Canis lupus familiaris: one gene and its partners. The protein of the gene in region 1 purifies or fractionates together with the protein of each later gene. This does not show direct contact. Links are inferred from orthologs where the notes say so. Each region holds a gene or a part of one and is shown in the gene's direction. Other genes may lie near its edges. The genes, in order: ANAPC15, CDC27, ANAPC4, CDC26, ANAPC1, ANAPC7 and ANAPC2.

Evidence for each region.
Region 2: the proteins of ANAPC15 (region 1) and CDC27 purify together in Homo sapiens (affinity purification with mass spectrometry; 3 studies listed by BioGRID and IntAct, with this or other methods). This does not show direct contact. The link is inferred for Canis lupus familiaris from reciprocal best matches to the Homo sapiens genes ANAPC15 and CDC27.
Region 3: the proteins of ANAPC15 (region 1) and ANAPC4 purify together in Homo sapiens (affinity purification with mass spectrometry; 10 studies listed by BioGRID and IntAct, with this or other methods). This does not show direct contact. The link is inferred for Canis lupus familiaris from reciprocal best matches to the Homo sapiens genes ANAPC15 and ANAPC4.
Region 4: the proteins of ANAPC15 (region 1) and CDC26 purify together in Homo sapiens (affinity purification with mass spectrometry; 3 studies listed by BioGRID and IntAct, with this or other methods). This does not show direct contact. The link is inferred for Canis lupus familiaris from reciprocal best matches to the Homo sapiens genes ANAPC15 and CDC26.
Region 5: the proteins of ANAPC15 (region 1) and ANAPC1 purify together in Homo sapiens (affinity purification with mass spectrometry; 3 studies listed by BioGRID and IntAct, with this or other methods). This does not show direct contact. The link is inferred for Canis lupus familiaris from reciprocal best matches to the Homo sapiens genes ANAPC15 and ANAPC1.
Region 6: the proteins of ANAPC15 (region 1) and ANAPC7 purify together in Homo sapiens (affinity purification with mass spectrometry; 3 studies listed by BioGRID and IntAct, with this or other methods). This does not show direct contact. The link is inferred for Canis lupus familiaris from reciprocal best matches to the Homo sapiens genes ANAPC15 and ANAPC7.
Region 7: the proteins of ANAPC15 (region 1) and ANAPC2 purify together in Homo sapiens (affinity purification with mass spectrometry; 4 studies listed by BioGRID and IntAct, with this or other methods). This does not show direct contact. The link is inferred for Canis lupus familiaris from reciprocal best matches to the Homo sapiens genes ANAPC15 and ANAPC2.

The regions. Positions count from the first base shown.
Region 1 is NC_049242.1:26,088,866-26,093,306, forward strand, and holds the start of ANAPC15 (anaphase-promoting complex subunit 15), read left to right. Parts: upstream 1-1,405; 5' UTR 1,406-1,462; coding exon 1,463-1,554; intron 1,555-1,574; exon of another isoform or gene 1,575-2,163; coding exon of another isoform or gene 2,164-2,228; intron 2,229-2,672; exon of another isoform or gene 2,673-2,934; coding exon 2,935-3,064; exon of another isoform or gene 3,065-3,547; coding exon 3,548-3,607; exon of another isoform or gene 3,608-3,928; coding exon 3,929-4,066; exon of another isoform or gene 4,067-4,208; coding exon 4,209-4,268; 3' UTR 4,269-4,441. UniProt on the Homo sapiens protein: Component of the anaphase promoting complex/cyclosome (APC/C), a cell cycle-regulated E3 ubiquitin ligase that controls progression through mitosis and the G1 phase of the cell cycle.
Region 2 is NC_049230.1:17,583,858-17,588,330, reverse strand, and holds the start of CDC27 (cell division cycle protein 27 homolog), read left to right. Parts: upstream 1-1,415; 5' UTR 1,416-1,576; coding exon 1,577-1,603; intron 1,604-4,473. UniProt on the Homo sapiens protein: Component of the anaphase promoting complex/cyclosome (APC/C), a cell cycle-regulated E3 ubiquitin ligase that controls progression through mitosis and the G1 phase of the cell cycle.
Region 3 is NC_049224.1:85,502,766-85,506,737, reverse strand, and holds part of ANAPC4 (anaphase-promoting complex subunit 4), read left to right. Parts: intron 1-536; coding exon 537-611; intron 612-749; coding exon 750-776; intron 777-867; coding exon 868-912; intron 913-1,602; coding exon 1,603-1,687; intron 1,688-2,550; coding exon 2,551-2,655; intron 2,656-3,972. UniProt on the Homo sapiens protein: Component of the anaphase promoting complex/cyclosome (APC/C), a cell cycle-regulated E3 ubiquitin ligase that controls progression through mitosis and the G1 phase of the cell cycle.
Region 4 is NC_049232.1:68,042,576-68,046,028, reverse strand, and holds the end of CDC26 (anaphase-promoting complex subunit CDC26), read left to right. Parts: intron 1-2,372; coding exon 2,373-2,549; 3' UTR 2,550-2,800; downstream 2,801-3,453. UniProt on the Homo sapiens protein: Component of the anaphase promoting complex/cyclosome (APC/C), a cell cycle-regulated E3 ubiquitin ligase that controls progression through mitosis and the G1 phase of the cell cycle.
Region 5 is NC_049238.1:36,482,604-36,486,575, reverse strand, and holds part of ANAPC1 (anaphase-promoting complex subunit 1), read left to right. Parts: coding exon 1-96; intron 97-660; coding exon 661-743; intron 744-2,014; coding exon 2,015-2,088; intron 2,089-3,823; coding exon 3,824-3,969; intron 3,970-3,972. UniProt on the Homo sapiens protein: Component of the anaphase promoting complex/cyclosome (APC/C), a cell cycle-regulated E3 ubiquitin ligase that controls progression through mitosis and the G1 phase of the cell cycle.
Region 6 is NC_049247.1:8,456,996-8,460,967, reverse strand, and holds part of ANAPC7 (anaphase-promoting complex subunit 7), read left to right. Parts: intron 1-314; coding exon 315-539; intron 540-1,604; coding exon 1,605-1,755; intron 1,756-3,377; coding exon 3,378-3,567; 3' UTR 3,568-3,972. UniProt on the Homo sapiens protein: Component of the anaphase promoting complex/cyclosome (APC/C), a cell cycle-regulated E3 ubiquitin ligase that controls progression through mitosis and the G1 phase of the cell cycle.
Region 7 is NC_049230.1:48,462,226-48,466,909, forward strand, and holds the start of ANAPC2 (anaphase-promoting complex subunit 2), read left to right. Parts: upstream 1-1,457; 5' UTR 1,458-1,628; coding exon 1,629-1,733; intron 1,734-1,932; coding exon 1,933-2,555; intron 2,556-3,713; coding exon 3,714-3,846; intron 3,847-4,684. Other genes in the region: SSNA1 (Sjoegren syndrome nuclear autoantigen 1), read right to left, coding at 379-486, 820-1,019, 1,406-1,457. UniProt on the Homo sapiens protein: Together with the RING-H2 protein ANAPC11, constitutes the catalytic component of the anaphase promoting complex/cyclosome (APC/C), a cell cycle-regulated E3 ubiquitin ligase that controls progression through mitosis and the G1 phase of the cell cycle.

The DNA.
Region 1 (4,441 bases):
GTTTATCTTCTTTGTTGTTTATCTCTCCTATTAGAATGGAAGCTGCATGGAGATTGTTGGGGGGCATCTGTTTTGTTCCCTATTGTATACCCACTACTTAGACTAGTGACAGGCATATAGTAAGGCACTAAGTACGTACTTGTAGAATGAATGAATGAAAAAGGTGGACATTTCCAAGAGGCAAATTTTACTCTTCACTTTTAAGAAAGATTTTGTTTATTTATTCATGAGAGACACAGAAAGAGAGGCAGAGACACAGGCAGAGGGAGAAGCAGGCTCCATGCAGGGAGCCCGACGTGGGACTCGATCCTGGGACTCGATCCTAGGTCTCCAGGACCAGGTCCTGGGCTGAAGGCGGCGCCAAACCGCTGAGCCACCCGGGGCTGCCCCAAATTTTATTCTTTAATGAAAAGCTTCATGACTACCAGAACTGCTTGGAAACACAATCACGTTAACATACACAGTACACTACCACTTAAACATGTAGTCTCACCAAATCCTCACATCAGTCCAGGATAGGAGGAAGGATGCGCAGTTTATGAAGTTTATGGTTGAAGAGGAAACTGAATCCAGACCGGGGTGGAAAAAGGACTTGTTAAAGCTCACACATCTGGAGTGGTCAGGAGCAGAATCAGGGATGATTGCTAGCTCTAGAAGAGGCTGGTGGGTGATGGAGCTTAATGGGGGGGTTGGGTTCGAAGAACTGCCGTTTGACAGAAGGCATGATCTCTGAAGGGGAGGCTGACTCAGCGGTTACCAGAACAGACTCATCAACAAAGGACTGGGAGAGATGACGAGGCTGACCACTAAAGGTATTTAGACCAGTCCCGGAAAGGGCAACTGAATTCCCCAAAAGTGGTGTCCTGAGGCTGACTGGTCACTGAAACCCGTACATGAACTCAGATGCAGAGCTGGACAGGCAGTCGTAAGAAACCGCTGAGTCCACTGTGGGTCTGTGGAGCCTGGCTTCTCCCCTGGACTGTGAGGTCTACGGGGGCAGGGACCGTGATCTAGATTCATCCCCAGCTTCTAGCAGAGCCTGGAATACAGTAGGGACTCAACTATTTCTGCTGAAGTCATACATACATGCACCAACCAAGAAGCTGAGGGTGAGAAAAGACAGACAGAAGGGGCATAATATCGCCCCGCGATTTGGGGGTAGAAGCAAACGAATTTTCTTGGGACGCGCGGCAGGACAAAGAGTTCCAGTGCTAAAGCAGGTAGCTGCTGCCAGCTATTTTCCAGCAGGGCTTGGCAAGCAGATCCTGGCTAGGGACGAATGGGCGGGGTTCGATGGGGCCGTTGGCGGGGGGGCGGGCAGACAGGGGAAGCCGAAGGGCGGAGGCTCAAGGAGGGGCCAACGGAGTATGCAAATTTCCAACCTCAACTACGTGACTGAGGTGTGTAACGTCACATCCGGTGGGGTGGGCGGGAGCGGGAAACAAAAGGAGAGCAAAGGCGCATGCGTCGGTGGTTCCCGGGCTCTGGTGGGTTCTTCCGCTCGGGCAGAGAGAAGTGCTTCCGGGTCGCCGCCGGCTGCCGCCTCCTGGCGCGGTAAGTACGGAAGCCAGGCTGCGGCCTCTGTCTCCTTGCCCCTTCTCGTCTCCCTCTCCCGGAGGACCCCCGCGGTCCTGACCCGGCTTCTCAGGGGCTCCACGTTCCGACTCCTTTCCACATTAAAGAGCTCCAGTTCATTGGCCGCTTCCTCGAGGCTAAGCCCCACCCAGTCGCCCGAGATCCGTCCCTCATTGGTGTCCGTTTCTGTCACCCACCATTCCTCCCAGTTAATTGGCCCCATTCAGGCCCCGCTCCTTTCGCGATTAGCAGCCCTATAAGGGTAAATGCCTGCTCGAATCCCGCCCCTGCATTCTTCGTGTTGGTCCACCCCGCGGTCATTATCATAATGAGCAAAGAGTGGGCGGGGGCTTTGCGGCGAGGGGGGGGGCTTTCGGAGCCTCGGGCTCTGGCCTCTCCTACGACCGGCCGGGAGTGAGGATGGCTAGTTGTGCTGCTGACACGGCCCGGGAAGCTGAGGTTCACGGAAGGGCAGCGGCGGGCCCGGGATCGGCTAAATGAGTTTAGGGCAAAAGCAGAAGTAGACGTCGGTCTATTTCTCCTGCTCATCTCCTCTAGTGCCTGGCCTCGATTTCTTCCCCGCGGAATATGATGCCCCAGCTCACTTGTGACCTAGAGCCAGTCGTTGCCTGTCGCAGGGCCTCAATTTTCCTGTGAGCTGAAAGGTTTTAATTCAAATTCTCTGGGACCTTTCCGGTCCCCCTCAGCTGCTTTTAATCCGTGCCGAATTTACATTATCCATTCACGTTAGTTCATTCAGCTTTCCATTTACTTATTCATTCATTTACTCATGCCTTTAGAATGTCTTCCTGAACCCTGCTGCACCCCACCCCAGTTTAGCTGGTTCATGAGAGAGGTGGTTAGTGTCCTAAATTTCTGACACTGGGTAAGTATGGTATGGATCATCATAGAGGGGCAAAAAGTAGGTCTTAGTGTTTGGAGGAGGTAAGGATAGGACCAGAGGAGCCCTGCTGCCTCTGATTTTGTAATGCCAGTCTGCATTCTGGATTCATAGCTCTACATTTGGCTTCCATTCCCCTCCACGCCTCCCCTTGAACTACTTTACTTCTCCATAAAGTAAATTATCAGAATAAGTATGAGGGTGGTATAATTGTTATTATTCCCCCCATTTTACAGATGAGGAAACTGAGGCTCATAGAGGTTAAGTGACTTGGCCAAGGTCAAACAGCTAGTAAGTGGTGGAGCCAGGACTCAAACCCAGGTCTGTTTGATTCCCACAGAGAAGAGCTATTTCCCTGCTACCTTCTACTCCACCCCATCCCCAAATCAAACTATAACCAAATAAAACCCAAAACCAAACACATCTGACAGCTGGATTCACCTGGCCCTTTACCTCAGTCTAGGAGCCATGTCCACCTTGTTTCCCTCACTCTTCCCCCGTGTGACTGAGACATTGTGGTTTAATCTGGATCGACCCTGTGTGGAGGAGACAGAGCTGCAGCAGCAAGAACAACAGCATCAGGCCTGGGTGAGTAAGGACCTAGCACAGTGGTGGAGCCTCTTGGAGGAGCTTTTTGCCCTGAACTGGGAACAATCAAGCTGGGAGGCAGGAGGCCTAGATTCACATCTTTGTATTACCCTGACTTACTGTGGGCCCGTGAGACTTCTGAGCCAGATTGGAGGCCAAGGCTCTTTCCTCTGAAACATAAGAAATAATAATTTTGACTTTATTGAGGTCCTAGTAGGTGCCTTATTCTAGACTGATAGTCTCTCACTTTACCCTCACCATCATCTTAGGAGGCCACAGTTTCCTCCTAAGAGAGTTGACGTAGTTGGATCGAGTTTATAAGTAAGTGGCAGATGATAAGAGACAAAGAGATTGGCTCTTTCTGGCAACTGGAAGGAAGCTTCACCCTTGAGGGGACTTCTCAGGGGCAGAGTAGGCCAGTCTCATGTCCCTGACCTGTCCTGCTCAGGCTCTGACTCTGCTCTCCACCTGATTTGGCTACAGCTCCAGAGTATTGCAGAGAAAGACAACAACCTGGTACCTATTGGCAAGCCGGCCTCAGAGGTGAGTGGTTCCAGCAGGTAGGGCTTGTGTGGAGCCCAGGTGGACTAAAGCTCTGCTCTACTTCTGAAGGTCCTGCCTCTGACCTCAGAGCGGTTGTGGTGTTCAGCTCTGGATGGAGGCTATAAAGAGGGTGTAGAGTGGTGGCCATTGAACCCAGCACTAAGGTCCTATAGAACATGCATCAGCCTGCTAGACTCAAAGGAACAGAGAAAGGTTGGGGAATGGAGGGTCATGCACTGGCCCCAAAGACTGGCTCCAAGTGGACCTTGAGCTGGTCCAGGCACTCTTATAGGGCCTATAGTCTTTCCCCTGCCTCACCAGCACTATGATGATGAAGAAGAAGAGGATGAAGATGACGACGAGGATAGTGAAGAGGACTCAGAGGATGATGAGGATATGCAGGACATGGATGAGATGAATGACTACAATGAGTCACCAGATGATGGAGAGGTCAATGAGGTAGGTAGAGGTGTGGGGGAGGGCCCCTGCCCCTGACCTAACTAATTGGTGGCCAAGAGGTACAGAGACTCTGGTGCCAGACGGGCAAGATCTGGGACTGGGGCTGGCTGGGTGGCTGAGGCCCCTCCCCACCCACACCCAGCCTTCTCTCCAGGTGGACATGGAAGGCAACGAACAGGATCAGGACCAGTGGATGATCTAGGTAGACAAGGCAGGGTGGCCTCAGGTAAATTCCAGGCCAGCCCAACTTACCCTGCATCCTCTGCAGAACCAGCTGATTGCCCCAGTGCCTGAAAGCTCACCCTTGGGTATCTCTTCAGCTGCTGCCAGGAACTGGTCTCCTTGGCTCCTCCCAGGCCATCAGTTTGCCCGTGA
Region 2 (4,473 bases), on another chromosome or scaffold:
GGGCCCAGAATACAGAAGCAGTTAATAGAGATGGCTGGTGGTGAAAGATATAGCTCTCTTAGCTAGTATTAAAAAAAAAAAAAAGCAAAACAAAACAAAAACAAAACAAAAGCAAAACAAAACAAAGCAAAACAAAGCAAAACAAAACAAGCCAACCCTTCGTTCAACATCACCTAAGGGAAGTAATCCATTTTAACCTGATTTCATCTGCATAAAACGAGAGACCCAGAAAGGGAAATTCCTACATAACAGGATATACCATGAGTTCCTCACCTAGCAACTGAGATGTCTTGATTGGACAATTAACTTTCTAAACGTGTTTTCATCATCTACCAAAAAACCCCAAAATTGTAATAGTTCCCTGGCTCACACATTTCGGCGGGGTGGGGGTGGGTAAGGGGAATGGGAAGGAAATCTGAGAGAGCCTCTTATGTGTGTTAGACACACCAACATACATCCATGCATTTAATTCTTTTAGTCATTTTTTTTTTCAGACTAAGGAAATAGATGTTCAGAGATGTGACTTGCCTCGGTACTTAAAACTTAGTGCCAGAGGTAAAATTTAGAATCAAGCCTCTGGATTTCCCAATATGCCACAGGAAAAAAAAAATTATCAGGAAATTTTTCCTTATCAGGAAAAAAAAATTCTGTCAGCCTTCTGAGATTTTCCATCATCTGGTCACCTAAGTAATTATTTCCAGCTAATGCCTTAACTCTAACCGGACTGATCTCACTTCTGCGTCCCTTCCCTTACCAGTCTTTTCTTCTAATTCTACCCATCCTTCAGAATCCAGTTTGTCTCCCTTTTCCCTTCCCTGAAACTTTCCTCATCTTAATCCCAATTTAGTTCCCTCTCCTCTTAATTTTGACGTCACTCATCACGGGCATCACGTAACATCGTAGTGACGTCTTCGGTGTGGACAGCCCTGGTCCAAACCAAGTCTTTGACGGGCGGCAATCCTTCCAAATTTCCTATTTCTCTTTGAGCCGTGCTATATAGGTACTTCTGGAATGAGGAACGAACTAAACTCAAAAAAACACTTCTTGATTAAAGTCAGCCCCAAACTCTCGTGCTTTACCCTCCTGCTTAATCTACCACACACCAATTGATCCGGAGAGCGGGAGCGGCGAGCGGAGACCGTAGTCGGGGCACGTAACGCACCCGGCCCGCTTCAGCAAGCCACGCCCAGGGTCGCCGATTGGGCGTGGCCCAACCTCGGGGGGCCGACTGGGCGTGGCGTGCGTGAGTGAAGGCGTGGCCGAGAGGAGAAAACTGCGCTCTGGATCGGAGTCGGTAATATCCGGGCATTCTCGGTAATTTCCGGCAACGGTCCCCTCCTCCGCCGATCGGCCTCGGGCATTTCCGGCCTCCTTCGGGCTTTTCCGTCTGGCTCCCGCGCCGATCTCTCCACTTCGGGCATTTCCGTGTCCCGCTCGGAGGTACTCGGCAATCGCTCGGCCTCCCCCATCCCCCGGTAACGGTCGCTGGTGAGTTTAAATGAGCCGGGGCTGGCCGGGCCGGAGCCGCTACGGGGGGGGCCTGAGGCACTGCAGAAAGTGGGCCTGAGCCTCAAGGATGACGGTGCTGCAGGAACCCGTCCAGGTAATGATAACGTCGCTCGCTGAGGCTTGGCTCGCAGCCTCGGCCGGGAAGCCGCGTATGGCCACTCCGCGGCCTGGTGCGGCCTAGGCCCGGCTGCTTCTCCCGCCTCCCCTGCTGCCGGGTCCTGCCTGCCTGCTCGTCGGCTCCGAGGCCTCGGCCGCAGCCCGAGCCGTGTTAGCTCAGGTCCTGCGTTGCTTCCCCCCGCGGTGTGAGCGCGGTTCGGCGATAATGTCTCCTTCCCCCGCCGGTCCGTCGTCCGGCCAGCCCCTCCTGTCAGTGCAGGGGCCTGGCCCCGACCCGAGTGAGAGACGAGGAGAGGGGTGGGAGGGGGGGCGGCGGAGACTCGCCCCAGGTGCTCCCTCGCCCAAAGGATGATTGGGAAGCACATCTGATCAGAGGTTGTGCCACCTTCGTAATGGTGGGGCAAATTGGCGGAGGGGCTGTTTGGTTTTGTTTTTGTGCTCTGGGAGAGGGTGGAGGGACTATAGGATCGGTATTTTTAATCCATTTCTGTTTTGGCAACAGACGTCCTAGCCCACGTTGTGCGTTTCTTGCTCAGTGGATTCCACCCCCCCTACACCCCCCTTGGACAATGATCTGGGAAGAGAACTCCAAGGCCCAGTGCTGAGGGGCAAGCACCTCTGGGGGTGGGGGGAAGGGGTGGCAACGGCCAATCTGGGGGTTTCCCCCGTGACCTGTGATGGGGATCAGGAATGTTTTGTTGTGCATGTTGATAAGGCGTTTGGAAAATGAAAGACCGAGCAGGGTTTTTACATCCATTTCACTGTGCTTACGACACCAGGGTATGCTTTGACGCACAGTGCTCTGTTGGCATGGGAGAAACCCTATTGGATTTGAAGTGTGATGCAGTGCCAAGTCATCCGCCGCCCCCCCCCCCCCCCCCCGCCATCTCAAGAAACTGAATCTTTTGTCCCTTCCTGATGGACCAGGTCTGGGAGACTTTCCACTCACCATAGGATCTTTGGTTTGAATAGAAGAGTTGACCTCTACCAACTGCTGTCATTGAGTTATGGGCTTTCTTTATTTTGAAGTTACAAGGCAAATCGATTTTAGAAATCACTTCATATTACCCTTAATAGGCCTGTGATGTCAAATGATAAATATTCTAAATAGATTACCACTTCCGTATTTCCTTAATTTTTCTTTCACAGGATGAAATAGAAATTTCTCCCAGTTGGCTTCTTCTTTACATACAGCTCTTCACATATAGTCGCTCTTGGTATTTGAACTAATATAATGTGGGATTCTCTCTCAGGAAATTTATGTTTGTAAGTTGTATCAATGCTTCCAGAGCTATTTCTTGCCATCGAAATTCATGTTACTGGTGAAGTCTCTTTTAAGATTATTTTTTTGAGGCCTAATGTGGGATTAGAAGTTATCTGTACCTTCTTAAATGGATAAGCAGATCACTCAAGTTGTTTAATTTCTGTTTCATATTCTTGTAATTTTGTCTTAACTAATGATACATTTGCCTTCTCTGGCCCCAGAAGTCTTCTCAAATGATAAACTAGTTTCATTGTTAGCCTATAACCACTATTTAATGACAATTTCAACTTGTATAAAAACATGGAGAAGAAAAGAAATATGTAGCCTATTCCTCCATGTACCCATCAGGTTTACTCTTTTCCTTTCCTCGATGTACCCATCAGGTTTACTCTTTTCCTCGATGTACCACCCATCAGGTTTACTCTTTTTTCCTTAAAGTACTCTTAGTGGTAAGGCACTTCAGGATTTTCAAGGGCTTGAAAGTCAATTTTGTCGTCCCCACCCTCACCCCCCACTACCTTTGTCCATTAGATTTGGGGACTATGACTACAATATGACTACGTGAGAATTTTGGTTGTAATTTATAGTAAAAGAATCCACTCAAGAAAGGATCTGGAGCAGTGGGAGAAAAAAGCCATTTTAGCTATGATGATAAAGATCGACGGATTGGGGATAGGGCTGAAAATGGGAAGAATTAGGGAGAAAATAAAAATAGGACAGATACTGTTTATGTGGTTTTTTAAAACTATGCTAAGTAATTGTACTTGTAAAGGAAGAGTAAGTTGGAAAATTGTTGAAGGAATCATGATATTACTAGGCATAGGAAAAAGTTGAGAGGAAAGATAAGCAACTGTTTTCTGCAGTTTTTTTTCTTTAAAGTTTTACTGTGGAATAGCCAATCTCATAAACCACATAAGCTTAAATATTAGCTCCTTCTCCAAATTGTCTCTCATAGAAAAGCATTACTTTATATAGGAGTCTTTACATACATCTCTTCTATTAGGAGGCAGAAATTCTGTCAATTATTTTTAATATAATTGTTTGGGGAAGACACTAGCCTAAATGACTTCAATTAGTGTTAATTTGGATATTTATAAAACTCACCTGATGAAATTGATGTAAAAAAAAAGACATTAATGGACTTATCAATTATTCCTGGGGGTAGAACTTCACAGAAGTGTCAGATGAAGTAGTAAACAAGGCTTGTAAAAATTGCCTTAATCAGTATAATAAGTGGGTACTATACACATAATACTATTTTAGAGATCATTTAGATAACGAAGGAATACTTTTGATTTGGAATAAGATATACAGGGACAGCATCTTTTTTTTTTTTTTTTTTTTTTAGATTTATTTATTTATTTGAGAGAGGGGGGAGAGCAGAGGGAGAGGGAGAGAAAATCCCAAGCAGGTTCCACACACAGTTTGGAGCCGGACATGGGGCTATGGGGGTGAGGTGGGGCTTGATCCCATGACCCTGAGACATGACTCAGATCACAACCTGACCTGAAACCAAGCATTGGACACCTGATGACTATGCGACCTAGGTACCCCTACAGTGACAGCATTCTAACATGGATTCA
Region 3 (3,972 bases), on another chromosome or scaffold:
CCTAAGCCAAAGGCAGCCACTTAACTCAGGTGCCCCTGAGTACTCTGTTTTGATGCTGAATGAGTTCTTTCTGTGTCTGTGGTCCTGACACCTTCCTGGTTTCATGAAAATAAGTTTCCCTTACTCTGCATTCAAGTCATATACCAGGTTTGCACTCAAGATGGCCTAAAGGATGAGTGGCTTTAGCTAATACTGAAAATAAATGTGGAAATGTGATAATTTTCTTAACAGTAATTTTTCTTTTCTAATTAAGTTTTAAGTTAATTTCAAATTAACTAAGGGGGTTGATAAAAAATTGAATAATAAGGATCTAGCTCAGTGTTTGAAATTCATAGATACAACAGTTGCAAATAGTCATGTGAATGTATCAATGCTTAGAAGAGCTTTACCATTTTAAAATACGTGTGATATTTGTTTACTTGGTAATATATATAATGTCTAAAACTGGGCAATTTTTTATAAAAGTATTTTTTAATGGGAAAACAAGTAAAATCTTTGGTACTTTTGTAATGGCTCTTCTTTGCTTTTCTTCTCAGTGTTCTAACATCTTTTTATAATGCTGAGGATGAATCAAATCTTCTCTTACCTAAATTACCCACACTGCCAAAAAAGTAAGTATCAGAGTTTAATTTCATTAGAATCTGTCTTGTAGATTTCTCTTTCCTTTACCTTGAACACTGATAATTTTCTCATGTGTTTTAAAAAATATATTTCTATTGCTTTTTACACTAGTCTCTGTTTTTCTCCAGTTACAGCAACACCTCAAAAATTTTTAGGCAAGTATACCTTTTCTGTTTTCAAGTAAAATAATCTTTTATTAATTGAAAGATGTAGTTGAAAGGTAACACAATTCTTTTTATATTTTAGTGAAGAAAATTCTGATGAAATTATTAAGCTTTTGGGAGACGTCAGGTAAATCTTGCAAATATCTTAAATAACAAGTCTAACTTCTTTAAGGTGATGTTTGATACTTGTGACAGAGTTTCAAGGGCAGTTTGGAGTTTCAAGGGCAGTTACTTTATGTGCATCCTTTTATTTTTCTGCTTACAAACACCTCAGAATAATATACAGACATTAGCCTCTGTTACATACTTGCTTTTATCGTATGGTCTTTGTGTCAAGTTCAATAATACTATACTGCACCTTTGTTTATTTTAATAAAAAGTAAAAGAGGATAGAAGTTATTAGAGTTTCTAAAATTTAAATTTAAATATTCTAAGTTTTTTTAAGCCCTTGTAGAACATTTAGTATCAGAGCCATGATACAACTGACGGCACTTTGTATTAACTGGGAAAAGGATCGTGTTATCGAGAGTGTATAAATACAGTCGTTGTTAAAAAAAAATACACTCATTAAAATACTGTGGCCTTGTTTTACTATAAACTGATGTTTTTTAAGCTAGAGCAAATTTATGTCCCTTTGAGAAAAAGAATAAGCCCTCTATGATTGGATATTGAGAACTGGTGAATTTGTGTGGTGTTTCAATTTCCCCACAGGGGAGCCTTAGCATGCAGATTATCTGAGAGCAAGAACAGTTTATATCTTGGTTTAAGAACTCAATCTTCTCTGTTGTCCTCAGCTTGTTACATTACTTTTAATTAGGCTTAATATTCTTGTCCTTGGAGGAAGTTCTGGATTTATCGAGCTTTATGCATATGGAATGTTCAAAATTGCTCGAGTCACAGGGGTAAGTTTTCCTTTAAAATTTTCCATATCATTTCTCTTAGAATGTACTACCTGATTTATGAAAAAAGAATACAACATTGGGTTTTTTTTTTTCTTGTTTCAGTTATTAGAATTATTCATTTATAAATGTTAAGAGGCTAATTTTCTTATGAAGATAAAATAGCCGTCATACGGTATCTGTGCTATTAGTGGAATTAGTCAAGTTTTTCTATTCTTTTTTGTTGTTGTTGTTAAGATTTTATTTATTCATGAAAGACACACAGAGAAAGGCAAAGACACAGGCAGAGGGAGAAACAGGCCCCATGCAGGGAGCCTGATGTGGGACTCGATCCCGGGACCCCAGGATCACGCCTTGGGCCGAAGGGCCGAAGGCAGATGCTCAACTGCTGAGCCAAGTTTTTCTTAACAAAAAGATTGATACAATACACTTGATTATGATGTAATGTTTTTCTAGCCTGTAGTCAGGGTGAGAGCTACAGTTTTGATGGGAATGTGATGAACATCATGAGAAGCGATCTTATACTTAGTACCAGGTCTGTCACTGTTCCTAAGTCTTGGTCTTCTCCTCATCTTTTCCATCCTACTCTTGCCATTCCTGAGGGGGACGAAATATACTGTAGGCTCTCCAGCATCTGATTTGGGACCCTTGATGGAGGGGTCTGTGTGTGTGTGTTTATGTCTGTGTCTGTCTTTCTCCATGTGGACTGGGTGGATACACACCTTGCATCTCCTACATACACATGGAAGGCGTCAGGCATGAGTGTTTCTGCTTTGTAGGATTCTGTGAATTTTTGTTTCTGTATGGTAAGCAGCTGCAGTCTAGCAATAATATTAAGTAGACTGGGGAATTTGACTCTTTTACAGATTGTTGGTACTTGTCTTGCATTATGTTTATCCAGTGATTTGAAATCATTATCAGTGGTCACAGAAGTTTCCGCTGGTGGTGCTTCAGAGGTCTCATACTTTCAGGTGAGTGTGGAAATCTTGTAGTAGCAGAGAGTAAATATATTTTTTTTTAAGGTTTTATAGGTTTTTATTATCCTTATCTTTGGGTTCTAATGGTCACTAAAGCAAAAAAAGAAGAAGAACTAACTTGGAGCTTCTAAATCTCAAATATAGAATCTTACTCTAGTGAACACTTTATTATTCCCAGGGCCCAGTGTATTTTTATAAAAACAGTATTTTAATAGTTTATTAATGACCATGTTAATTGGTTGCTGTACAGTTTACCTTTTACCAAATGTGTGTGTGTGTGTGTGTGTGTGTGTGTGTGCTTTTAAGGTTTATTTGAGAGAGAGTGTGAGCAGGAGGAGGAGCAAAGGGAGAGGGAGAGTGTCACAAGCAGACTCTGTGCTGACAACAGAGCCCATCACAGGGCTGGATCTCACCACCCATAAGATTGTGACCTGAGCTGAAACCAAGTTGGATGCTTAACTGACCGAGCCACCCAGGCATCCCTATACCAGATATATTCTTAGGAGTCTGATCCAAATAATAATAAAAGCTAAGATTTCTTAATTATTTAATATGTACCAAGTACTGAATGATTCAGTAATAATTCATTTGAATCTTCACAGCAACCTAATAGGTCCTATTATTATCCCCATTTTATAGATAAGTAGATACTGCACAACTTGCTCGGTATCACTCATTTGGTAAGTGATACTGGGCAGTATGGCTCCAGAGTCAGTTCTCTTAACCAACACATTGCCTCTTGTGTAAGATGATCACTTAATTTTGGGAAAAATCTTTTGTACTGTATGCTGTTTGTATTGTAGATTGTGGAGACCATGTGATCTCCTGTAGAGTATTTAGATTATAGCCTTGCCTTTAAGAAAATATTCCTTAGATTTCTTTCTTTCTTTTTTTAAGATTTTATTTTTAAGTAATCTCTACACCCAACACAGGGCTCAAACTCACAATCCTAAGATTAAGAGTCACACACTCCACCGACTGAGTCAGCTAGTCACCCCTTCCCTAATTTTGATGCCAAATAACCACATAGCCTAAAGATGCATGAATTCTCAAACAAGTAGACCAAAAAGATGCAAGATGCACTGTGTATGATGCTTTCAATATTCATTGTTATATTCAGAGCATCAGGTACTCTTGACTTCCTGATTCCCCATAATAGTTGCTCTTCATCTTAAAGTTCTGTGAAAACACAATATCTAGGATTGCATTTGGTGCTATAATAAAGTGATTCACTATTTCTTTGAAGTTTGTAATGTATATTTTTTTAAATAACCACTTTACTGAGATATAATTCTATGGCATTGTAATAGA
Region 4 (3,453 bases), on another chromosome or scaffold:
CTTTAATCTTAGTGCCTCTGCATACTTGGTTCCCTTCTCCTGAAATGTCCTTTCAGTATGGTTTAAACTTCAGCTGTAATGAGTCTCATAAAATGTTGGCATACTGAACTTTGACTCTGCAGAATCAGCTCACTATTGAGCTAGTCTTTCTACTGAAGGCAGTTATCCAGTGGGTTTGACCTGCTGCAGAGCAACTTAGGGAGGGACAGTTTTGCCGTAAACTAAAATAAAATGAAACCAGTAGAAACTGGTATTTCATTTGTTACTGAAATTAGTTTAATTATATTTTGATGACTCTGGATTCTGAAACAGTCAGCAGTTATTCATGGTGGGAAGCCTTTTAAATTATTTTTCATTCCATTTGGACATTCTCAGTTTCTCATGGCTTATGAAATGATAATATCCTTTGCCTTTTAACCTGTTTTCACTAAGCTGTCATAATGTTACTTATTGGTAGTGTAGACTAACTAGAGAGTAACTCAGGTCATTTTACATACATAGACACACACATATATATAAAGTAATGCCTTGTTTGGTTCAGTATGATACTGTGACATTGGCATTCCAATGCTGAGTTCATTAGTAAGTGGTGAAGAATGGTAGCGTTTCCAGTGGTTAGAGTAGTCGAGCCATCCTTGTAAGGAATGCTGGATAAAACATTTGTTCACTCTCTCAGAGAACATTATTATTTAATAACTTTATAGTCAGATAGTTGTAGTTATGGGATAAGTGTTAATACCTCTTTCTGAAAATGATTAAACTGAGGGGCACCTGGCTGGCTCAGTTGGTGGATTGTGTGACTCTTGATCTCGGAGTTGTGAGTTCAAGCCCCACGTTGGATGAGGACATTATTTAAAAATAAAATCTTGAAAAAAAGAGGGCAGCCCCAGTGGCTCAGTGGTTTAGTGCCGCCTTCAGCCCAGGGCCTGATCCTGGAGACCTGATCGAGTCCCACGTCGAGCTCCCTGCATGGGGCCTGCTTCTCCTTCTGCCTGTGTCTCTGACACACTCTCTCTCTCTCTCTCTCTGTCTCATTAATAAATGAATAAAATCTTAAAAAAAAATACTCAAGAAATCTTAAAAAAAAAAAAAGGAGAATGACCAAACTGAGATATTGACTTGGTGAATTCTGCAATCACTTGTAATTTAAGAGCCAAACCTTTAAAAAAAAAAAGATTTAATTAATTTCTTTATTTGAGAGAATGCGTGAGCAGAGGGAGGAGCAGAGAAAGAATCTCAAGCAGACTGCTGAGCATAGAGCCCCACATAGGGCTGGATCTCACAACCGTGAGATCATGACCTGAGCCAAAACGAAGAGTCAAATGGTTAACGGACTCAGCCACCCAGGTGCCCCAAGAGCCAAACCTTTTATTTTTTAAAAATTTTTAAAAGATTTATTTATTTATTTTAGAGAGAATACACGCATGAGTGTGAGAGTGCAGGGAGGAGCAGAGAGAGAGAGAGCTCAGACTCCCTGCTTGAGCGTGGAGTGTGACACAGGATTTGATCTCATGACTCTGAGATCATGACCTGAGCTGAAATCAAGAGGTGGATGTTCAACCAATTGAGCCATCCAGGCACCCCAAGAGCCAAACCTGAAAACAAAACCTCAAAACTCAGTCCTTTTGATAAGATAGTATAAAACCTTATATTCCTGTTTTTACATTTAATCTCATAGTTGTCAATGAGAAACACCCTTCTTGGGGTGCCTGGCTGGTACAATTGGTAGAGCTTGTAACTTTTGATCTTGAGGTTGTAGGTTTAAGCACCGTGTTGGGTGTAGAGATTACTTAAAAATAAATCTTAAAAAGAAAAAAAAATGCTTTTCTTTCCCCCTTGTCTGCCAACTTACTTTTTTTTAGTTTTGTTGAGAAATAACTGACATACACTAAGTTAAGGCACAACGCACGATGGTATGATTTACATATATTGTGAACTGATGGCCACAGTAGGTTCAGGTAACATCCATCTTATATATTATTTATCTTTCTAATCGCAGCTTCCTGCTCTGAAGCTTTGCCACAACATACCCAACTCCTCACGTCTTCTTTCAGTTTCTTTGGCAGTGTGGACTTTCCTGTGTCGTAGCTATGATCACTCTGTGTTGCCATTGTCTATTTTCCTATTTCCCTGTTAGGCTGTGACATCTGGGAGGGTAGGGGTTGTCTCTTTTCTCACTGTGTCCTTGTATCCCCCTTGTACTGCTATTATCCATTTCAACCTAGGATTTTATTTCAATTTAGGATTTCAGCTTACTGTTCTGAAGGCCCTAATCCCAGCTTTTACCCTATGCCTAGTGCATGGTAGGTGCCAAATAATTGTTTGCTAATGGAAAGAACATTGCCTTAATCCTAAGACTTTTATACTTTCAGACCCGTAAGAAGCAAAAGGAAGAAGTGGATGTCGTAGGAATCAGTGATGGAGAAGGTGCCATTGGGCTCAGCAGTGACCCCAAGAGCCGGGAACAAATGATTAATGATCGAATTGGTTATAAACCCCAACCCAAGCCCAATAATCGTTCATCTCAATTTGGAAGTTTCGAATTTTAGAGGCAGATTATCTTGCATGCCAGAACCCTGGGATGGAGTAAAATGATGGCAGAAGTACAAACAAGATTTAGAGAATTGAGTGCTTGCAGTGAAGCAGAATGTTTTACCTCCTGCAGAGAAATATTTCTGCATGAGATTACTGATGCTTAACTTTTGCTCTGAGTGGAAATCCCCTCATTTGTCTCTGAAAAATTTGACTGTATAAAACTTGTCTGATTTTTGTTTTTAAAAATAAATATATTTTTGGAAAAGTGTGTGACACCCTTAATAAATTATAATAATAGCACTGTTGACCCCCAGATTTTAAAAGGTAATTGCTACAAGAAGTAACATCATTCTTTTAAACCTTTATTGAGAGACTTGAAGCATAGAACACTTCCAGTTGATCCCTGTCACTGACTTTCATTCAGCTCAACTATTCAGCAAGTATTAGTTGAGTGCCTGTAATGTGGCAGGTACTACTCTAGGTGGTTAGTAACATCAGTGAACAAAATCAAAGATCCCTGCCTTTGTGGAGATTAGATTCTAGTGATTTTGTGTAAATGTGATCAAGCTATGGGTTTCCAGAATCTATTTACAGGATGGCTTTGTAGCTAGTCTGAGTGTAATTTTGGGGGGACAGAGAGTGGAGGGAAAACAATAATTGGAATGCTCCTAACAGAATTACCATCATTCCAATTTTCCTTCCTTTTCCAACTTGCCCTAAGAATTTTTCACACGCAGCCAATCTGAGAGGGTAATTTAGAGTCCTGTCCAGGGCACCTCGCTGGCTCAGTCAGAGGAGCATGCGACTCAAGATCTCAGGGTCATGAGTTCAAGCTCCATGTTGGGTGTAGAGATTACTTTAAAAAAAAAAGTTGTTGTTTTTTAAAGATTTATTTATTTGAGAGTAGAGTGGGCAAGA
Region 5 (3,972 bases), on another chromosome or scaffold:
AATGAAGTAGAAAAATGCATATGTATATTGCAAAGCTCATGTATTAACATGCATAGCGTAGAAGGAAAAGATTACATAGCTTCTTTACCTTTTCAGGTAAATCGAGTGTTTTACTGTTTTTGTGTTTAGTTGTATAATATTCTTGAATTAATTGGTTGCAGAAGTATTGCTATCCTTTTTTTTTTTGCTATCCTTATGCTTTGTAGTAATCAATAATGTCATTTTTATTCAGATAAAGTAACCAAATTTTAACAGTTTTACTTCTTACTGTTTTTCCATCCTTTGCATAAAAAATAAATTTTTTAATGAAGCGAATTATGGAATTTTTTTTTATAAAAAATAAAAAGATTGTAATATTAAAGCACAAGACCAAAATTAGTCTTTTTCCTGTTTCTCACCATCTTTTTTATACCTAGTGTTATATTAAAATTTTATCACATTGTCATTTTGGTACTGTTACTAGCCAGTGGCAGGAATTTCTGATTGAATTCTTTCTTAGGTTTGATTTTGTCTTGAACTTTAAAAAAATATAGTTAATGATCACATTGTTTTGTAAAGCTATTACATTGGAACAAAATCTAATGTTTTATAGTTTCCTAAGCACATATTATATAGAGTAATTTCTTTTACTTCTGTTTTTTCTTGTCCTTTACCTGATAGGTTGCAAATGTTTGGCCCACCAAATATGGATTATTGTTTGAACGAAGCAGTTCTACACATGAGGTACCTCCAGGTCCACCCAGGTATTCGTTTTACTCAGTTCAGTATATTATTTGGGCTTTTTTTGGTGTTGGTTTTGAGGTAAAATTACCTAAAAGTTCAGGATGATGGGGGCATCTGGGCAGCTTAGTGGTTGAGGGTCTGCCTTTGGCTCAGGTCGTGATCCCAGGGTCCTGGGATGGAGATCTGCAGTGGGCTCCCTGCGGGGAGCCTGCTATTCCCTCTGCTTATGTCTCTGCTGCTCTATGTCTCTCATGAATAAATAAAAATCTTAAAAAAAAAAGTTCAAGGTGATGATAATTTCCATGCTAACGGCGTAGTTAAATGCCATTTTCTCTTATCTCAATATTGTATACTTATGAGCTCTATTTCTGTTTTGGCATTTCATTATCTACTGCTTCCCTTCTCCCTTCCATAGTAAAATTAAACAAGCACATACTGAAGGATAAAAAAGACTCTGTTATTAAAGCTGTCATTGTTTCATTGTGTTATTATGGGCAAGTCATTACAGCTTTCTTAGCTTTAGTTTCCTTATCTGTTACAAAAGTACTATCATTAACTTCTTGGATTTATGCAAAGATTAAATGAGCTAATGCACATAATCTTTGATGTAGGACTTAGTACATATCAGGTGCACAATAAATGGTAGATGCTTATTGGTGGCATGTTTACCTTGTCTTCCTAATAAATTGTGAGCTTACTGAAGGGCAGTAACATACCAGTACCTGTCATAGTCTGCTGCAAGTAGTAGACACTGGTTTTAAAAATTTGCTTATAGATTTTAATCTTTCTGTGTTTAGGTAGAAGACCTATTTTTTTCTCCTTTTTAATCATTCCTTAAAAAAATGCAGCCTTTTTATTTACTTGAAGTTTTTCTTCCTTTTTTGGGGGTGGGACACTTTGTAAATGGAGGTAGGACACTAAATTTGTTTCTTAGCTGCCAAAGACACACTGCCACTAAGAGAGGTTTAAAAAAAGAAAAAAGAAGACTGCCTTATGCTTATTACTCCGTTGGTTCTGTAATGTGATGACTGCTGTTTGTAGAGATTTCCTGGGCTATATTGATTTCCTTGTGTGTGTGCATGCATGGAATTACCATGTACAAGAAGACCGATTTCCAGGAATGAAATAGAAGATACTGTAAAACGTTTAGAGGCTTGCTTTGTGAGATGGTAGGTTTCTAGTTGCTTGTATATTCTGGAGAAGATATTTCTTTGCAGGAAAAAAGTGCATAATTTGCGTACAAATGGAATGATTCTGTGTTGGTGATCACTGATTATTTGTTTATTACTAGAGAACCTTTACCCACTATGTTCAGCATGCTGCATCCACTAGATGAAATAACCCCACTTGTTTGTAAATCTGGAAGTAAGTGTATTTTTATAAATTCTTTCATATACGTTCTTTTTTTTTTGAGTTTAGGAGATGGGAGGAAATGAAGGAGCTTTTTGAAAATAGAGTTGTTTTTTTTTTTAATTGGCTTGTTTTATAGAAATAATGTAGTTTGAACATTTTTATTATGAAAATTTATATTAAAGCAAGAACTTAATACCAACTATTGAAACAGTATTAACTGTTTTAATAGTTATTCTTTTCTTAAAAATAGGGCCTATAATCAATCAGGAATATTGATAGATTTGCTAACCTATCTGTAGATGACTCTTGACTCTGTTCCTCAGTAATTCCTTAATAAGTAAATGAATAATACTTAGATGAACTAAAATTGTTTTTTGTTGTTGGAGAAAAAAAGTATAGGTTCATAGACTTCTGTTTAATCATTTTTGCTGTTCATAATAAACTAATTTGCTGAGATGCAGAACTTTTAGTATTTCCTGTGAGTATTTCTAGATGCTTATCTTAAAAAATTTAAATGTGGCCAAATATGATAGGTAATTATAAATAATGAGGACTTGGAAACTGAAAAAAATACTTCTATATATATATATTATTTTTTTTTTTTTTACCGGTTTCACTTGTAGTACTTTATCCTAAGCACATATTCTGAAATTCCACTAAGATTTTAATCTTCTGTATCAGGGCTTGGCAAACTGCAGCCCATGGGCTAAATCCAGCCAACAGCTTGTTTTTGTAAGGCTTATGAGCTAAGAATGGTATTTATCTTTTTAAAGAATTGTAGAAAAAAACATTATGCAACAGTCAGTATGTGGTTCACAAAGCTAAGCTATTTATTCTCTGGCCTTTTACAAAAACGTTTGTTGATAATTCTATATCATATTGGTAATGATTACAGACTATCTAATTACACACATTAGAGCCTGTGACTGAATGGTGTGAAGCCATTATTGATCATGCTTTTGAATAATAATGATCTCAGGAATTACTTACTCATAATGTTAAGTAGAATATAAAACTGAATACAGTGTGATTCTAATTTTGTAAAAGCATAAAAAGTATGTATATGTGTAGGAAAAAAACACTACAAGGAATACTCCCTAATATAGTGGATATTTTGAGATGGTTGAATTACGAGTGATTTTTATTCATTTCTTTATAAAATACCTCTCATTTTATAAAATAATTATTGAAAATTAAAAAGTATTTTAACAGAGGGAAGCATTTAGGAAGCTGTCAAATAAGGTTATAGATAGAAATCATTTCAGGGTACTATAGAAGTAAAAGTTAAACTCACTAGGGAAAACTTATTTTGCATGTATGCTCAGTAAAAGGTGTACTGTTCAGCTGTGTTTAAATAGTTATTATAGAGGACAGATTTCATAGAGAAGAAAACAGTCAAGAGGTCAAACTTGGCAGAATAGTTGATTGCAGTTTACAGGTCAGCTGTTGGGTGGTCACGGACCTTCTGCCTGTGGCCGATGGGACATTGAGTGAGCATACATCTTTAACATGTAATTGCATGTGTGTGAGAATGAAACTGGTAATGTATTTTTATCTTATCTTTACGTATCTTGAGGAAGTTGATGCCCAAAGTAAATTTAAAAATTCAGGGTGATTCTATGTTAATGGATTTTGTGTCTTAATTGGCTGAATTTCTCTTTAGGAATTACAGGAAGTCACTTCATAAAGAACTGTTTTTACAAAGTTCATTGTTCAATACCTGATCATTTCTGTTTTATCTTTAAAGGTCTTTTTGGTTCATCAAGGGTGCAATATGTTGTAGATCATGCAATGAAAATTGTTTTTCTCAACACTGAGCCCTCCATTATAATGACCTATGACACTGTTCAAAGTTTGCATTCTGTGTGGGCTCTCCGGAGAGTCAAAACAGAGGTA
Region 6 (3,972 bases), on another chromosome or scaffold:
AAGGAATGATTAGGGTCATCTTTGTTGCTCTAACATCCACCCTGAGCTGCCTACTTGCTTCATTTTACTTATGCATGTTTGTTTCCTTTGCTAACTAAAGGTGCCTTTGCAGCACATGCAGCCTTTTTCACGTCCCTGAAGTGCTCTGGGGAAGAGCATTTCTTACTCCATCAACATGCTCTCCAGTTAATATCAGTTTTCCCCTGGCCTGCCCTTTCTCTGAAGCTTTGAAGGTTTGCAATTTGGAAGGCTGTCCGGGTGGAAGCATTGCTTAGAATGGTAATGTGGTTGAACTTTCTGTTCTATTTTTTCAGGTCTCATTGAATGTTACTTAGCTTCAAACAGTATTCGTGAAGCAATGGTAATGGCTAACAACGTTTACAAAACTCTAGGAGCAAATGCACAGACCCTTACCCTTTTAGCTACTGTTTGTCTTGAAGACCCAGTGACACAGGAAAAAGCCAAAACTTTATTAGATAAAGCCCTGACCCAAAGGCCGGATTACATTAAGGCTGTGGTGAAAAAAGCAGAACTACTTAGTAAGTGTATCTTATTTACTTCCCTTTTTTGTTAATTGTATTAAACCTGGTGTCATTTGGATTTCCTCGTCCTAGCTGGTTATAGATAACCAGGCATGTGTGTGCCTTTTACAGTAGGTTTGAGCCCATGTGAATTGGTTTATATTTAGCACAACCAAATGTAGCTATCTTAGACTGACTTGGATTGGCACTACTCTTTGAGTGGTTCAAACCAGCTATACTTGGTTCGTACCTGTTTAGCTCACTTTCATCTGTTTTGGTTGTCCTGTACTAGTTTGGCCTGAATAGAACTAGTTTTAGCCGGCTAGAACTGTTTTTCAGTCCATCTGAATTTGCTTATGATTTTCCTTTTAGCTTTGGTGTTTTTAGTCCTGATTCATGATGAAGTCCTGGGTTTGGGCTAGTTTGGAAAATAAAATGCATTTTGGCTTTTTATTTGAACTTAGGTTAAGAGTATATTTTAAAAAATCAGAACTCAAGCTGCACATTTCTTTTCTTTTTTGTTTTTTTAAGATTGTAATTATGGGCAGCCTGGGTGGCTCAGTGGTTTAGCGCCGCCTTCAGCCCAGGGCCTGATCCTGGAGACCTGGGATCGAGTCCCATGTGTCGGGCTCCCTGAATGAGCCTGCTTCTTCCTCTGCCTGTGTCTCTGCCTCTGTGTGTGTGTGTGTGTGTGTGTGTGTGTGTCTTTCATGAATAAATAAAATCTTAATAAAAAAAAAAAGATTGTATTTATTAGAAGCAGAGGGAGAGGGAAAAGCAGGCTCCCTGCTGAGCAGGCAGCCCAATGTGGGGCCTGATCCCAGACTGGGATCATGACCTAATGCGAAGGAAGACGCTTAACCATCTGAGCCACCTAAACACCACTCAAGCTGAACATTTCTTAATGGAATAAGAATTCATAGGAGCTTATTCTTATTTCCTGCCATACCACTGTTCTCTTAAGGACATCTACAAAGAGATTATTAGATTGTGAGTGTTGTGGTTTTGTGTATATGATTTGGGATGGGAGTGTATTTTCAAAATGTTGTGTAAGAAGGAAAATGAGGATCTTTTTCTTTGCAGGCAGAGAGCAGAAATATGAAGATGGAATTGCTTTGCTGAGGAACGCACTAGCTAATCAGAGTGACTGTGTCCTGCATCGGATCCTAGGAGATTTCCTTGTAGCTGTCAATGAGTATCAGGAGGCAATGGACCAATATAGTATAGCACTAAGGTAGGCACTTAGCCTCCCATGGGGGGGAAGGTCAATGAGGGGAAGACGAGGCAGGGAACTGTGTAACAGGAGTTCTGGAAACATACACGTTTGTGCCCATGATTGAAAAGAGTAATTATAGTAATGATTAGAAGAGTTATTTGTGAGCTCATATCTTAAAGAAATTTCATAAAGTATATTATAAGTAACATTAAAAAACTGTTTCACTCATAACCAGCCCATATCACTATATCATCTGTTTTCATTTGTGTAGATCATATTCCTGGTCTTGCCCACACATAAACATATTTTTATAGGGTATATGTAGTATATATTTTATATTCTGCTTTTTCAAATCAAAGTATTGTAAGTACTTTCCCATGTTTCTACCTACTGTAGTAAAGAACCTAAGCTCTGAAGTTTGAATATTACTTTCACCTGTTATCTCGGGCAAGTTACAAGTTTCCATGTCTATATCTACCTTAATAGGTATTGAATGATTCCATGAGGATTAAATTATTATTCCGTGTAAAGCTCTTAGTGGTGTGCCTGGTACATAGTAAATACTAAATAAATAGTGATATTCTTACTGTTTAATATAGAAGTGATTTCTTTGAGGGTTGTCTGTGTGTCTGGAAGGTTACGGTGAAGGCCTGTCTCTAATTGAGTCTGTTCGCATCCATTTACTTATTCAGCAGTTGAGCATCTGGCATCTCAGTAACCACTGCGTATGCTGTGATTCCGAAAGCTCTCAGTCTCAGGCATGTAGACTGGATGATGCCACATAATAATAAATACAGTTCTTTCTAGCAGTCTCTAGAAAGCAAAGTGGGAGTCCCAAGGGTGGGGAGCCCTGGGTGTGGGTGAGAGCCGTATGGAGGGTTTCAGAGAAGAGCTTACGAATCAATCTGCAGTTGTGTAAGTAGGAACAGAGGACCCATTAGAGGTTAAATTTGCTAGCGATTGGACACCTCCTGGCCTTGATAATAATTACAGGGGCAGGAGGAAGAATTGCTTAGAAGCCAAGCTAAATGTTCTTGAGCCTCTGAACTTTGGGGTTTGGGGCATGTATTAGGACTCTTAGGTGCTAAACTTGAATGCCTGGGTAGGGGTAGCTTTGGGTCCTGGAGTCTAACCTAGTAGTTGACAAATGTGTTCCATGGTAAGCATGATAATTTTGCTTGACTACTGAAATGCTGATATGGTTAATTATATCATAAAAACATGAATCAACTTCACTCACAGAAAAATATTTTTTTGTAACTTTGTAGCTTAAAAATCCGACGCTGTTAAATTACATTTGAATTTGTCTATTAATGATTGTTTGCTGGTTTTTCATTTGTGTTACCTAGTATCTTCTTCTAGCAGAATGCTGGGGTAATAAGTTTGAAAATGTATAAGAAATATGTGGAGAAAAACTCAAATTGAGAATGCTAAAAATTAGGACAAGATACCTTTTTTCACTTCTAGTGGTGGAGTCCCTCGATCCTGCCTGTGGAACCAGAGTTGTTTGGAGAGGCCAGGCATTAGCAGTTTCTCTGTGACTGGGTGGTCATTTCACTGCTGTGCCAGGGAGATGACGCATCAGCCAGCAAGAAGCAAGGCAGAGATTCAGGCCTCTCCTTTGTTTTGTTGTCCCCTAGTTTGGACCCCAATGACCAGAAGTCTCTAGAGGGGATGCAGAAGATGGAGAAGGAGGAGAGTCCCACGGATGCCACTCAGGAGGAGGATGTGGACGACATGGAAGGGAGTGGGGAAGAAGGGGACCTGGAGGGCAGCGACAGTGAGGCGGCCCAGTGGGCTGACCAGGAGCAGTGGTTCGGCATGCAGTGAGGCAGGCGGCAGCTCTGTGGCCACACTGGCCTGCCCTGCTCTGAGCACTTCCGTGGACCGGAGGAGCCCGCTCTCTGGGAGGACAATGATTCCGCATGTAATTGCAGCAGGGGTCTCTACCTCTTGCTCCATATTTCTAGTAGTGAATTCATTTTTAAAAACTGAGCCTGACCAACCTTCCATATATCTCTGTCCTCCCCTGCTCCAGTCAGGGAGGATCGAGTGAGCTCTCTGGGAGGCCTGCAGATGTGCCAGGGCTTCTTGGGACAGAGTGCTTTTTATATAACTAATTTCTAAATCTGAAGCTTGAGGAATAGACAGTGTTTTGTCTGTGACATTGTGGGTGAGTTTAAAGGAGTGATCTGTCACACAGCAAGAGTGTCCTCTCCCATGTCAGACAGCAGC
Region 7 (4,684 bases), on another chromosome or scaffold:
CAAGCTCTGAGGTGCAGGGCCCCTGCCCTTTGCCCACTTCCCTGGCTGGGGCAGCAAGGTGAGGCCACTCTCATGGTGTGGAGACAAGGGAGCAGGGCCTTTCTGGCAGCACCGGGATGGGGGGTGGTGGCGACCTCAGGCCCTGAACAGAACTGACCCAGAGCCTGCACTCCCCAAGTCCTGCATGAGTACAAGGCCGGGACGTGCCCAGAGGTTTCCTTGTCACCTGGGGCAGGTGGAGCTTGGCAACAGCCTCTTGGTACCTGAGACACTGAAAGGGGGCAGCTGGTGCCAAAAAGAGTAAAGACGCTGAGGATAGTCGGAGGCCCAGCCACTGCCGGGCACAGTAGAGGCAGGCCCCTCCCCAGAACGGCCCCATCAGCTGTCCTTAGCTCCGCTGCTCTTCTGCTCTGAGGCTGTGGCCTTGGTCAAGTTCCCAGCTTCCCTCTTCAGGACACTAAGCAGAGTCTGCGAGCTCTCCAGGATCTGGAAACAGACGTAGGATGGTCACCACCACTCCTCGCCAGCACTGAGCTGTGGGGCAGCAGTGCAATGAAGCCCCTGAAGGGCAGGTCAGACAGGGTCAGCAGGGCCCGTTCCCCCTAAGACTAGCCCAAAGCCCCTTCCTCGCACCCCAGGGAAGCCAGTCTAGGTTAGCTGAGCCCGGGGCCGCTCTTTGCTCATGGTCTGGGAGGACAATGGTGCAGAAAACAGGACTCCTGACCTGCCAGGCCCCCGACAGCCTCACTGACACCTAACCGGGATCCTGTCGCCCCTGCGTTTGGCCGGCCCTAGACTCCCCCGGGGCCCCAGCCCCACCTTGAGGTAGGCGGCTTCTGTCTCCGCGATGGTCCGGTCAAACTCGTTTCTAGAGGCAATCTTGCGGGCCAGGTTCTCGTTGACGCGAGCCAGTTTCTCGGTCAGCTGCCTCACTTCATTCTGCAGCCGCTGCTTCTCGTCTTCCTCCTGCTGGATCTGCCGGCACAACTCCTCCCGCTTCTGGCACAACTCCTCGATGCCTGGGATGGGCGAGCGGGAGGGCACACGCTGTGGACCCAGGGCAGGAGGGAGCACAGCACCCCTCCCACTCTGGAGCGTGCCCGGTGCACTGGACGGTGCGCACCCCTCGCACCCTGGACCGTGCGGGGGGCGGGAGGCGGTGCACGCTCTCCCCTTCCGCTCTGTCCCTCACTGCGCAGATACCCGGCGCCCGGGCGAGCGGCACAGCGGCTGTCCCCCTGGCTCGCCCGCAAGGCCCCCGGCGCCGTCCCGGCCGAGGCCCCACGCACGGACGGTGCAGCCCGTTGGGCCACGCGCGGCAGGCCCGCCACCGCCTGGACCCGCAGGCCGGCGAGCCCCGCGCCCTCCCAGCCCACCAGGCGGACCCCGCCGCGAGGCCGCTCACACTTGACCAGTTCGTTGTTATAATTCTGCAGCGCTGCGCCCTGCTGGGTCATGGTGACCGCCCAGGCCGCGACCACCCCAACCGCCGCTACTGCATCGCCGCTCCCGCCTGCGCGGTGCGTCCGACGGCGCGCCCTCCGAAACGTCACCGCTGCGCGCCGCTCGTGTGCGTCATCGCCGCGCGCCGCACCCGGAGCTCGGGGGACCTGGAGGGGGCCGCGCAGATGGCGGCGGCGGGGCGCGACGGCGACCCCGGGCCCGCACAGGAGCTGTTGCTGGCCTGGAACACCGTGAGCACCGGGCTAGTGCCGCCGGCCGCGCTCGGACTGGTGAGGCCCCGGGAGAGGGCAGCGGGCCCGCGCGGGGTCCCTGGGACGTCCGCCGGGTGGGCGTTGTGCTCCCGGACAGCTCCTACCTGGCGTCGGCCGCAGCCTCCCCTCCGCTGCGTCCCTTCCCCACTGCTCCCCGTCCGTCCCCGCGCTTTCCGCGTCCCTCCGCGTTCCCTTCTCACGGTTTTCTGCACCGCAGGCGTCCTCCCGCACCAGCGGTGCGGTGCCGCCGAAGGAGGAGGAGCTCCGGGCGGCGGTGGAGGTGTTGAGGGGCCACGGCTTGCACTCGGTGCTGGAGGAGTGGTTTGTGGAGGTGCTGCAGAACGACCTGCAGGCCCACATCTCGCTCGAGTTCTGGAATACCATCTCCCAGCGTGAGAACTGTGCGGACGAGCCCCAGTGCCTTCTGCTGCTCCTTGACGCCTTCGGCCTGCTGGAGAGTCGCCTGGACCCCTACCTGCGTAGCCTGGAGCTGCTGGAGAAGTGGACTCGCCTGGGCTTGCTGATGGGCGCAGGCGCTCAGGGGCTTCGGGAGAAAGTCCATACCACCTTGCGGGGCGTCCTGTTCTTTTCCACTCCCAGAATGTTTCAGGAGATGATTCAGCGCCTCTACGGGCGGTTTTTGAGAGTCTACATGCAGAGTAAGAGGAAGGGGGAAGGGGGCACAGACCCGGAACTAGAGGGGGAGTTGGACAGCAGGTACGCCCGCCGGCGGTACTACAGACTTCTGCAGAGCCCCCTGTGTGCGGGGTGTGGCAGTGACAAACAGCAATGCTGGTGCCGCCAGGCCCTGGAGCAGTTTCACCAGCTCAGCCAGGTCCTGTGAGTACTTGTGGCTGTGGCCATTTCCCTGTTCTTCTTGACTCTAGATTACTTTCCTGGGTCCAGCGGCCTCTTCAGAAAGCTGGTGAGCTGGCTCTGGGGAGGGGGGCATCTCTGCCCTGACAGTCCTGGACATTACAAAGGGACAGTCCCCAGGGTCCCTGTGCTGTGAATTTATACTCTTTGTCCTGGATAAAAAGAACAAGTATCTCTGCCACTCACGCTAATCTCAGGTTTCACACTGCGTGCACACCAAGACCCTATGTGATTCCAGATTTCCGGTCACATACAAGTCTGCTGTGTCTTCTGTAGGCTCTCCAGGGAAGGGAAGATAGTTATCCTCTCCTATAATTGCAAAAAAAAAAAAAAGAGAGATTTTTTTTTTATGCTTTCCAGGACGAGCTGGGGATTAGGCCAACATGCTGGCAAGCAGATTGTCTTTCCAGTTTTTTTTTTTTTTTTTTTTTTTTATTAGTTCATGAGAGATACAGAGAGAGAGAGAAGCAGAGGGAGAAGCAGGCTCCATGAAGGGAGCCTGACGTGGGACTCGATCCCAGGTCTCCAGGATCAGGCCCTGGGCTGAGGACGGCACTAAACCGCTGAGCCACCAGGGCTGCCCTTTCCAGTCTTTAAAGAGGAAAGGGTTTTGTTGTTATTAAAGCCAGGTTCTGACCTGTTGACCTTTTGTCCTTTGTGGTTGCTTATAACAATTTTGTCTCATTGAGTGAAGCAACAGCAGTGCAGCTGTTAGGGAGTGGTCCTGTTGCTGGCAGGGGTCAGGGAGCCCTGAATGGCTTTCACTGGGTTCATCTCAGACACAGAAACATGCTTTCTCCTCGCCTCTTGACTCCCTTTGCCATTGCTGACCAGGGTTTGCACCAAAAGGCATAACTGAGGACTTCTATACATGTGACCAGGACAGGGATGTGTTTAGCTATTGTTTCAGAGTCACATTTGGGAGATGAGGCTTTGGCCCTGAGAGCCACACCCACCACACACACAGGGAAGGCCAGGGTGTCAGCCCAGTCAGGGAAGTCAGCTGGGGAGGGCAGGGCTGTGTCCTCCCAGCAGCTTATTTGAAGCCTTTGTTATAGAGGGCATGGGAGGTGGGGGAAAGGATTATGTTTTATGTGCTCCACGGGCAGGGCTCTCCTCCAGACACAGGCTCAGTCTGTTGGAGCGGGTCAGTGCCGAGGCTGTGACCACCACCCTGCACCAGGTGACCAGGGAGAGGATGGAGGACCGCTGCCGGGGCGAGTATGAGCGCTCCTTCCTGCGTGAGTTCCACAAGGTAAGGACAGCCTCTTAGGCCCTATCCCCTGCGGACTGTAGAATAGGTTTCTAGCAAACCTGACCCCTGGTTTTATTTTTTTATTTTTTATTTTTTTTAAGGATTTTATTCATTTATCATGAGAGACACAGAGAGAGATAGGCAGAGACACAGGCAGAGGGAGAAGCAGGCTCCATGCAGGGACCCTGATGTGGGACTCGATCCCGGGACTGCAGGATCATGCCCTGGGCTGAAGGCAGACACTCAACCACTGAGCCACCCAGGTGTCTCACCCCCTGGTTTTAGAAGCGGCGAGAGTGTATGGAGATGGGTGAACCAAGACCTGGAGGGTGGTGGAAGCTGTCTTGGTGCTGAGTGGAGGCTGGCCCTACTGACAGCAAGAGACCCCCCGTGCCATGCTCAGCACAGTCTGTGCAGAGTCACTTTGCTGGAGGCTGTGCCAAGGTTTGGGGTGTCCCAGTGAGGGTCTTGGCACCCATGTGGTTGGAGCATGGTCTGGGGCTCTGTTCTGGACTCCCCAGGTTGTGGAGGTGATAGGCCCAACCACAAGGGACTGTCCAGCCTGCTCTTATTTCTTGCCTGTTTTCTTCTGCCTGAGAATGCAGCCTAGCTGTGATGGGGATTCAAAGCAAGTACTTCTGTGGCAGTGGTCTCACGTGGGTGTGAGCCCAGAGGCCTGGCTGGGGTACCTGTGTTGCTCCCATGTAACAGAGCACCCAGACGTTTATCTGTGGCTATATAGTTTATGGGGGAATGTACTCATCCTGGGGTCCACGTGGCCATGTTGCCTATAAATGTACATGCGTTCAGAATGGTCCTCACGTTGTCTGCACACGAT